2 linked regions of the Neurospora crassa OR74A genome follow. The protein of the gene in region 1 interacts with the protein of each later gene in a biochemical or structural test. Links are inferred from orthologs where the notes say so. Each region holds a gene or a part of one and is shown in the gene's direction. Other genes may lie near its edges.

Region 1 (3,711 bases):
TCCACCATTGCCCGCGTCTCACCCTCGAGGTCCGACAGCTTGCTGTTCTCGGGGACGATCTTGCTCACGTCGATTTTCGGGGCGCTGGTGACTACGTGCGGCCACCACTCGAGCTTGTTGTGCTTTTCGAGATGGATCTCCAGGGCTTTTTGACCGGCGGGAGCGGGGGACAGCGTCCAAGTTGAATCGTCGAGGAGGATCGGGTGGGGGAGGTCGCCCTGGTTTTGTGGGAGGTGTCAGAATCGAGCTACTCGGCATGCGACATTGGGTGGTATGGTATAGGCGGCGTTGGAAAGTTGCAAGGGTTGTGATTTGTAGATATGTGGGCAAGTAGGTTGGTTACCTTGATGACGGGCTCTTGACCCTTAATACCAGCCGTAAGAGACTGCTTCTTTATCTCAACCACCATATCTTTGCCCTTTAGGTTACCAGGGACGAGGATGGTGATGTCGACGTCGCCAATCGTCTGAGTCCACTTGTAGGGGAGAGCCTCCTGCTCGGCTTGTTCCTTGGCGCGGGCAGCGGCCTCCTCGGCGGGGGTGAGCTCTGTTACGTCTGACATTGTTTGGTCAGTTGACTAGTGGGACCTGTTGATGGCGGATGGACTTTCTGGTCTTGGGAGCAAGAGGAGTTGAGCTCTAAAACGCACCTTTGTCAGCCATGTTGAAGGTGGTATTGTTGAATTCGGTGTAGATATTGGGCAACGACGGCAGCTTGGTGCAGTGGTGCAGTGGTGCAATGTGCGGTAATGTAAGTAGAAGACGATGGAACGCGCCTGAACGCGATGACCGAATTTCTGGAGGGGCAGGTAACCCGCATGGAACGGCTGCGGCCGCCCAATCCCAATCCTAGGAGCTGCCCGCGAGCGGCTGCTGTCACTGCCCTGGTAGCCCCTGCTCACCCCACGCTTGCCCGCGTCCAGTCCCCTGAGACAGAGCTGCCAGATGAGCGCGGCAGAGTGCCGTGCTGTGAATGATCTGGGAAGCCCCACCCTGCACCGCCAGGGTAGCGTCCATTGGAGCGCTGGCGCGGTTGGGGGCCAAGTGGAAACAAGGATTATTCAGCCCAAGCATAATAACTCTTATCAGTCCCTCTTTCACCACATCGTCAATCTCACTCGGGTTTCACCCAGACTTCCACTTGGTTGATTTTCATCACCTTCCCTATCCACCGTTGATACATGACTGCGTGACCCGGAATTTCTGCCTAGCCGAGCTGGCATTTTAGAACAACATTTCATCACCTAACAAGACGAGTACAAGTCCTCGTCGCCAAATCACGATCACCAAACAGATATAAAAGAAGATTTGGGCCGCGATCGCCACTCACTCACCGACACATCAAGAGACGTCCCGAGTTCTCAGATACGGACTACTGTCCCTTCGAAGGGAAACGCCCACTCCTCGCTATAATTCAGCATACATTTCTCTTGGCCATCATTTAACCTTTGGAAATCCCACTTCAGCACATCGATCCCCGTCTCCTCGAAGCGAAATTATCAAAACAACCCCCCCCCCCCCCCCCCCCCCCCCAAAAAAAAAAGAAACCACCCACCATGGCGCGCCCTCTCGACCCCCTCGGCTTCGAAGACGAAATGTGCCCCGTCTGCAAATCGCGCAAGTACCTCAACCCCGACATCGTCTTCGTCTTCAACCCCGAATGCTACCACTCCATGTGTCTCAACTGTGCCAACCGACTCTTCAACGACGGACCCAATCAATGTCCGCACGCCGGCTGCAACAAAACGCTCCGTCGCAAGGGCTTCCGCTCGGCTTTTTTCGGCGACTTGGCCGTCGAGCGCGAGGTCGACATCCGCCGTCGCGTGGCGGCGGTGTTCAACCAAGTCGAGGACGACTTTGAGACGCTCCAGGATTATAATAATTACTTGCAGATGGTGGAAGATTTGACGTTTGAACTTGTCAATGGGACGGATGAGAGGAGACGGCAGGCGGAGGCGCAATTGCAGGCATGGGAGGCGGAGCATAGGGCGGATATTGAACGGAATAAGAAGGCGGGGAGGGAGGCGGATGAGATTTCAAGAGTGAGGCTGGCAGCCGAAAGGGATGCTGTCAGGCAGAGGAGGATTGAGGCTATCAAGGAGGCGGAGGCGGAGAAAAGAGAGAGGGTGAGGAGTCGCGAAATGGAGCTGGATAACCTGGCCAAGGGAACCACTGCTATGACAGCGGAGCCGGCGACGAAGGTACAGCTAAAGAGGCGTGGGCAGGTGAATCGGGTTGCTGAAACAGCTTCCAACCCTGCCATCGCAACAACGGGAATGGGCACGGGCGCGTCGGAGGTTGAGCGTTTGTCCATCCGCGGCTTGAAGGAGAAGCCGAAGGCGCCGGCGCCACAGGGCCCGTACGACCCCTTTGGAGGCATGGACTTCGCGCCTAGTCGGTACAAGCTACATGGAGGCTTGAGTCACCCGCTTATGGAGAAGTACCGGTTGGACAGACAGCACGTTGCTGGTGGGTACAGCTTTGACGACTTTGCGGCGCGCGCCTTGTATGAAGCGTTTGCTGGGTTGGGTGTGTTTGTTGAGGATGAGAAGGAGGTCGGCAGTGGTATTGGGCTGTCACAAGAGACGAGCATGGCGGCGGGGATCGCCGCTGTGGTTGACGCGGATAAGATGGATTTGGACTGAGAGTGGTTCTGGACCGGTATGCCCCGGCCTTTTGGTTGGCGGTAATGGTGTTTTTGTTGCATAGCGACGGCGTTCACTCAGCGATTGAATATTTTTCTTTTTCCTCTCCGACGGATCTGGATTTAGGAACACACATGAGGCGGGACCAGCATCATATAGATCAACTTCAGACTCGGTGGTTTTAGAGGGCGCAAATATTCGGGTCTGCTGTGGATTTCTGGGTTCGAAATTCATTATGCGAATGGTCGCAGTCCAGCAGCCACATAAGACAGAACTTGGCGAACTGCAGTACATTCACTACTCTTTGCCACCCATCAAGCCATCTGTCTACTTGTAAGGAGTATCAAGGTCACTGAAGACCACGTTTTGTGTGAGGGATTGGGACGACGATGATGATGGAGAAAAGAAGAAGAAAAAGAAATTCAGACTAATAAGAGTGCGTCGATTGATCACAAAAATGCCCAAAAAAATATATAGATTAAGATTTACCAAACAAAAAGAGCCTCCAGGCTTCCCTACTGCAAAAATGTGTATGCCTCCCTTGCTGGCCATTCCTGGAGAGAGTGTTGGCAGCCAATCCTGAAAGTTTTGATGGTATGACCATTTATCATACCATACCTCTTTCACTCCTTTATCTCGAGATGCCCGGACCCCATTCCACCGTTTTTATGTAGCGTTCCATTCCAACTATTCTTCCCCCCTCCCCCTTGCGCTGCGCTGCTAAGCCTTGTATCTGGCCCTGCTCGTTAAGAAGCACTCGACGGCGGAAAAAAAAGCCTGATCTCTTCACAGTCAATCCTTGACTGCCTTATTGCCACCCATTTCGAAGGTACGAGCATCAAACCGCCCTGCTTACCCGAACATTGGCTGTCCTTTCGGTAGACTAAGGAGGGGCACCGTCAGAAGACTCGCGGCAACAATACCGAAAGATCAGGATTGCCGAATCGAATAACGAAGGCGGGTGAGAAAAAAGAGCTGAGCTCAAAAAATACAAAATAAAAGAAAATAAAACAAAAAGCAAAAGGAACGCCGCGCTAGATGCGTGACTTGCCGGTTCGTGTCATCCC
Region 2 (4,214 bases), on another chromosome or scaffold:
AATGGTGCGATGTGCAATATGATGTGAGTGACAACAAGCCACCCAGTTTGATTATATGCTTCTCTAAATGGTATCTCTTTTTTCCCTTCCTCGCTGCGTTGTGATTCCGTACTCCAACTCCAACTTCAACTCCAACTCCAACAGCCCAGCCACTCAACCAAGCTTATCAGCGTCCACATCCGGGTCAAATATCGAGATCTGGTTCATGGTCTTCTTCGTTTGCTTGACTCTTTCGTCCTTGAGCATGCGCGCATCCATTCTCGCATCCTCGCCCTCGACCCTGAGAGCAGCCTTGGGCGTCACGGCCTCGATGATGTAGTGGTTGTCGCAGTGCGGGCAGTATTCGTCGGAATCCTCGAACTCGGTCGCATCCTTGCGGAAACACTTTTTGCACTTTTTGCAGGCAAAAGTCATCTCGAGTGTCTTCTTAAGGGGGTGCGACTCGGACTCGGCGTGGCATTCGGGACAGTCGAACCATTTGCGGCCTGCGTAGGAGGTGGGTGTAGAGTTAGAGGTCATGTTTATATGGCTGCGATGTTCGGTGTTGTTGTCGTTGTATACTGGTAATAGGGAATCGTGGTGGTTCGTTTATTTGAGACTGAGGTTACGTACAGCATGGTGACCGGATGGAGACTTGAGCATTGAGAACGTGTTTACTGGATGGGAGAGGATCTAGTTAGCAGGTGGTTCGTGGAAGTGGTCTACACGAGCAAACAAGGGGAACATAAGTAGAAGGCATGCCGAAGTGTCAGGTCATGGCATGGCAGGTGGGAGTTTACTTACCACATGATGACAGACAGGAAGAGGTTACTTATGCGCAGAGAGGTAGATAGTGTAGATGGCTCGTTCTGATCCCTGATTTTATGATATTTCGTCGTTGTTGGGTTCTATGTGGTATGTACGACACCAAGATTCTTTCGACGTCGCTTCGTTCTCCTTGATCGCCAATGTTCACGTCCGGAAAAAAAAGGGTTCACCGAACTTTATCACGGCACTTAACGCGGTCGTCCCGTCGCCCCCCCCTTCGTCCACCCACCCAGACCAGAACCGACCCGACCACCACTCAACGCGGGGTGCTTTTCGGACTGGACAGCGGGTGACACGGGTGGAGCCTGCAACTGAGGGAGTGCACTGAACGCCGAACGGTTCCCTCCACTTCCAGGTTGGCTCCAGAAGACTCGCTTCCCCACAAAATAAGCGTGGCTGATGACTAAACTAGCGTGTCTGGCCCCTGTCGGCCTTGCTGTCACAGCGGCTCGGGCGCCCGGCTCCTACGGTATCGCCTTAACAATTTCCATAACAGGACAGGAACCGCAGTGTAAGCAAACTAGGCCTGCTGTACTTGTACCCTACAATACCTCTGCTTGTAGAGCCAGGTATCTACCGTAGCGTACAAAAGACAAAGTGGAATTTCATCATCCATTTCAAACTCCCATCCTTTCAACCTTGTATTCTTTTTTTGCCACTGCACTGGCATTCTTCATTTGTCCGCCTGCTAATCCATCCTTCTAGAACTGAAACTGCTAGAAATAGATAAAACAGAGCAGAGACAAGAAAGAAAGAAAGGAGATCACGTTTTCGTCATACACATAATGCCGCCCAAGCGAAAAGCGGTCGGCGCCCCCCAGGCCGGCGTTGCCAAAGCTGGCCGCACTTCGGCCCTGTCCACTCCCGGCCCCGCGACTCCCCGCAGCCTCGAGAGCTCGTTCCAGTCGGACGGCGATGATGATTTGAACGACGACGACGTCGACGAGGTCATCAAGAGGAAAGAGGAGGTGATTGCCCGCGAGGCCGACGAGTTCGTCAATACATGGGCCGTCGATAGTAGCCGTTTCCAGGCCCGACAGGACGGTGGCGGCAGTCATCGTGACGGCGCCACCCAGTTCTTTGGCAGCGGGAAACGCGACTTTTCGTATCTGAACTTGAAACCCGACCACGACCAGAAGCCGCTGTGGATCGACCCGGAGAAGGGCACCATCATACTCGAGAAGTTCAGCCCGGACGCCGACCGCGTCACCGACTTCCTCGTCACCATTGCCGAGCCCAAGTCACGGCCGCATTTCCTGCATGAGTATCAGTTGACCGCCCACAGTCTCTACGCTGGTGTGTCCATTGGCCTGCAGTCAAAGGATATTATAGACACCCTGGATCGCTTCCTCAAGACCCCCCTGCCCGAGTCCATTCGTCTCTTCATTGAGTCGTGCACAAAGAGCTACGGCAAGGTGAAACTCGTGCTGAATAACAACAAGTACTTTGTAGAAAGCTCGGATGCCGAGTTGTTGCAGAAGCTGCTCCGCGATGAAGTAATCGGAAAGTGGCGTGTCCAGGGCTCCGGTGATATTACCACCTCCTATGCGCCCACCATGGGCGGCCTGGTCATCCCCGGCACCAAAGATGCCGCCGGTGTGAACCAGGCAGGCCTCAACAAGTCTGGCAACAAGAAGACTGCCGAGGATGGGGCCGCGGACGCTGCGGCGACTAACGAGGCAGACCTCTACGCAGCCATCAATGAGGAAGACGACGAGGACGACAAGGACGCCGTCCATGCCTTTGAGATCCCCGAAACCGCCGTCGAGATTGTCCAACGACGCTGTCTTGACCTAGGATTTCCCATCTTGGAGGAGTACGACTTCAGGAACGACTCTAATAACGCGGATCTGGAAATCGATCTGCGACCAAACACACAGATTCGTCCGTACCAGGAGCAGAGTCTCAGCAAAATGTTTGGTAACGGCAGAGCAAAGAGTGGCATCATTGTTCTGCCGTGCGGTGCAGGCAAGACCTTGGTCGGCATTACGGCTGCCTGCACCATCAAAAAGGGTGTCATCGTCCTGTGTACCAGCAGTATGTCCGTCGTGCAATGGCGCCAGGAGTTCCTCAAGTGGTCCAACATCAACCCCGACGATATTGCCGTCTTTACCGCTGAGAGCAAGAACAAGTTCTCTGGTAATACGGGTATCATTGTTACTACATATTCTATGGTTACCAACAACCGAGAACGATCTCACGACTCCAAGAAGATGATGGATTTCCTCAAGAGTCGTGAATGGGGTCTGATGCTTCTCGACGAGGTCCACGTCGTCCCTGCCGACGTCTTCCGAAGAGTTATCTCTTCCATCAAGTCGCACTCCAAGCTGGGTCTCACAGCCACCCTGCTCAGAGAAGACGACAAGATTTCCCACTTGAACTTCCTAATCGGCCCCAAGCTCTACGAGGCCAACTGGATGGAGCTATCCGAAAAGGGTCACATCGCCAAGGTCCAGTGCGCAGAGGTGTGGTGTCCTATGCCCACCGAGTTCTACGACGAGTATCTTCGTGCCAACTCGCGCATGAAGCGCACTCTTTACGCCATGAACCCCCGAAAGTTCCAGGCCTGCCAGTACCTGATCAACTACCACGAAGCCCGCGGCGACAAGATCATCGTCTTCTCCGACGAGCTGTACTCACTAAAACAATACGCCCTCAAGCTAAATAAAGTCTTTATCTACGGCGGCACCGGCCAAGCCGAGCGCATGCAAGTGCTCGAAAACTTCCAGCACAACCCGCAAGTCAACACGCTCTTCCTCTCCAAGATCGGCGACACCTCGCTCGACTTGCCCGAAGCCACCTGTCTCATCCAAATCTCCTCCCACTTCGGTTCCCGTCGTCAGGAAGCCCAGCGCCTAGGCCGTATCCTCCGAGCCAAGCGCCGTAACGACGTCGGCTTCAACGCCTTCTTTTACTCACTCGTGTCCAAAGACACGCAGGAAATGTACTACTCGTCCAAGCGCCAGGCCTTCCTGGTCGACCAGGGCTACGCCTTCAAGGTGATCACGCAGCTGGCCAACATCGAGAACACGCCCGACCTGGCCTTCGCCACGGCGCAGGAGCGGCGCGAGCTGCTGCAGCGCACACTGGTCGACAATGAAAAGGGCGCCGAGGATGATGTCGAGACGGACGATCTGTTTGGTAAGGTCGGGCGCGGAAGGGGTGGCGCAAAGGGCAGAGCGGCGGCGGTTCGGAGAATGGCTGGAACCCTGGGCGAGCTCAGTGGTGGTCAGGATATGGCGTACATTGAGCAGAACAAGGCGGCGAATAAGGGGTTGAAGAAGAAGGGTGCCGCCAAGGCGGAGCAGAGCGCCTTCTTCAAGAAGCTGCAGAGGGAGAAGGAGAGGAGTCGGGCTTTGGCGAGACAGGGCTAGAAGAAACCGTCTTGATTTGGGGTCTTTGACTTG

What was found.
Region 2: the proteins of NCU02587 (region 1) and NCU06438 are reported together in a solved structure, tested with the Saccharomyces cerevisiae proteins (2 studies listed by BioGRID, with this or other methods). The link is inferred for Neurospora crassa OR74A from reciprocal best matches to the Saccharomyces cerevisiae genes TFB3 and SSL2.

Annotation. Positions count from the first base shown.
Region 1 is NC_026501.1:2,825,149-2,828,859, reverse strand, and holds NCU02587 (RNA polymerase II transcription factor B subunit 3), read left to right. Parts: upstream 1-1,555; coding exon 1,556-2,644; 3' UTR 2,645-3,166; downstream 3,167-3,711. Other genes in the region: NCU02588 (nuclear movement protein nudC, variant 1), read right to left, coding at 1-218, 344-555, 650-662. UniProt on the Saccharomyces cerevisiae protein: Acts as a component of the general transcription and DNA repair factor IIH (TFIIH or factor B), which is essential for both basal and activated transcription, and is involved in nucleotide excision repair (NER) of damaged DNA.
Region 2 is NC_026503.1:1,415,779-1,419,992, reverse strand, and holds the start of NCU06438 (DNA repair helicase RAD25), read left to right. Parts: upstream 1-1,358; 5' UTR 1,359-1,592; coding exon 1,593-4,181; 3' UTR 4,182-4,214. Other genes in the region: NCU06439 (zinc finger protein), read right to left, coding at 154-485, 613-656, 784-788. UniProt on the Saccharomyces cerevisiae protein: ATP-dependent DNA translocase. Component of the general transcription and DNA repair factor IIH (TFIIH) core complex. When complexed to CDK-activating kinase (CAK), involved in RNA transcription by RNA polymerase II.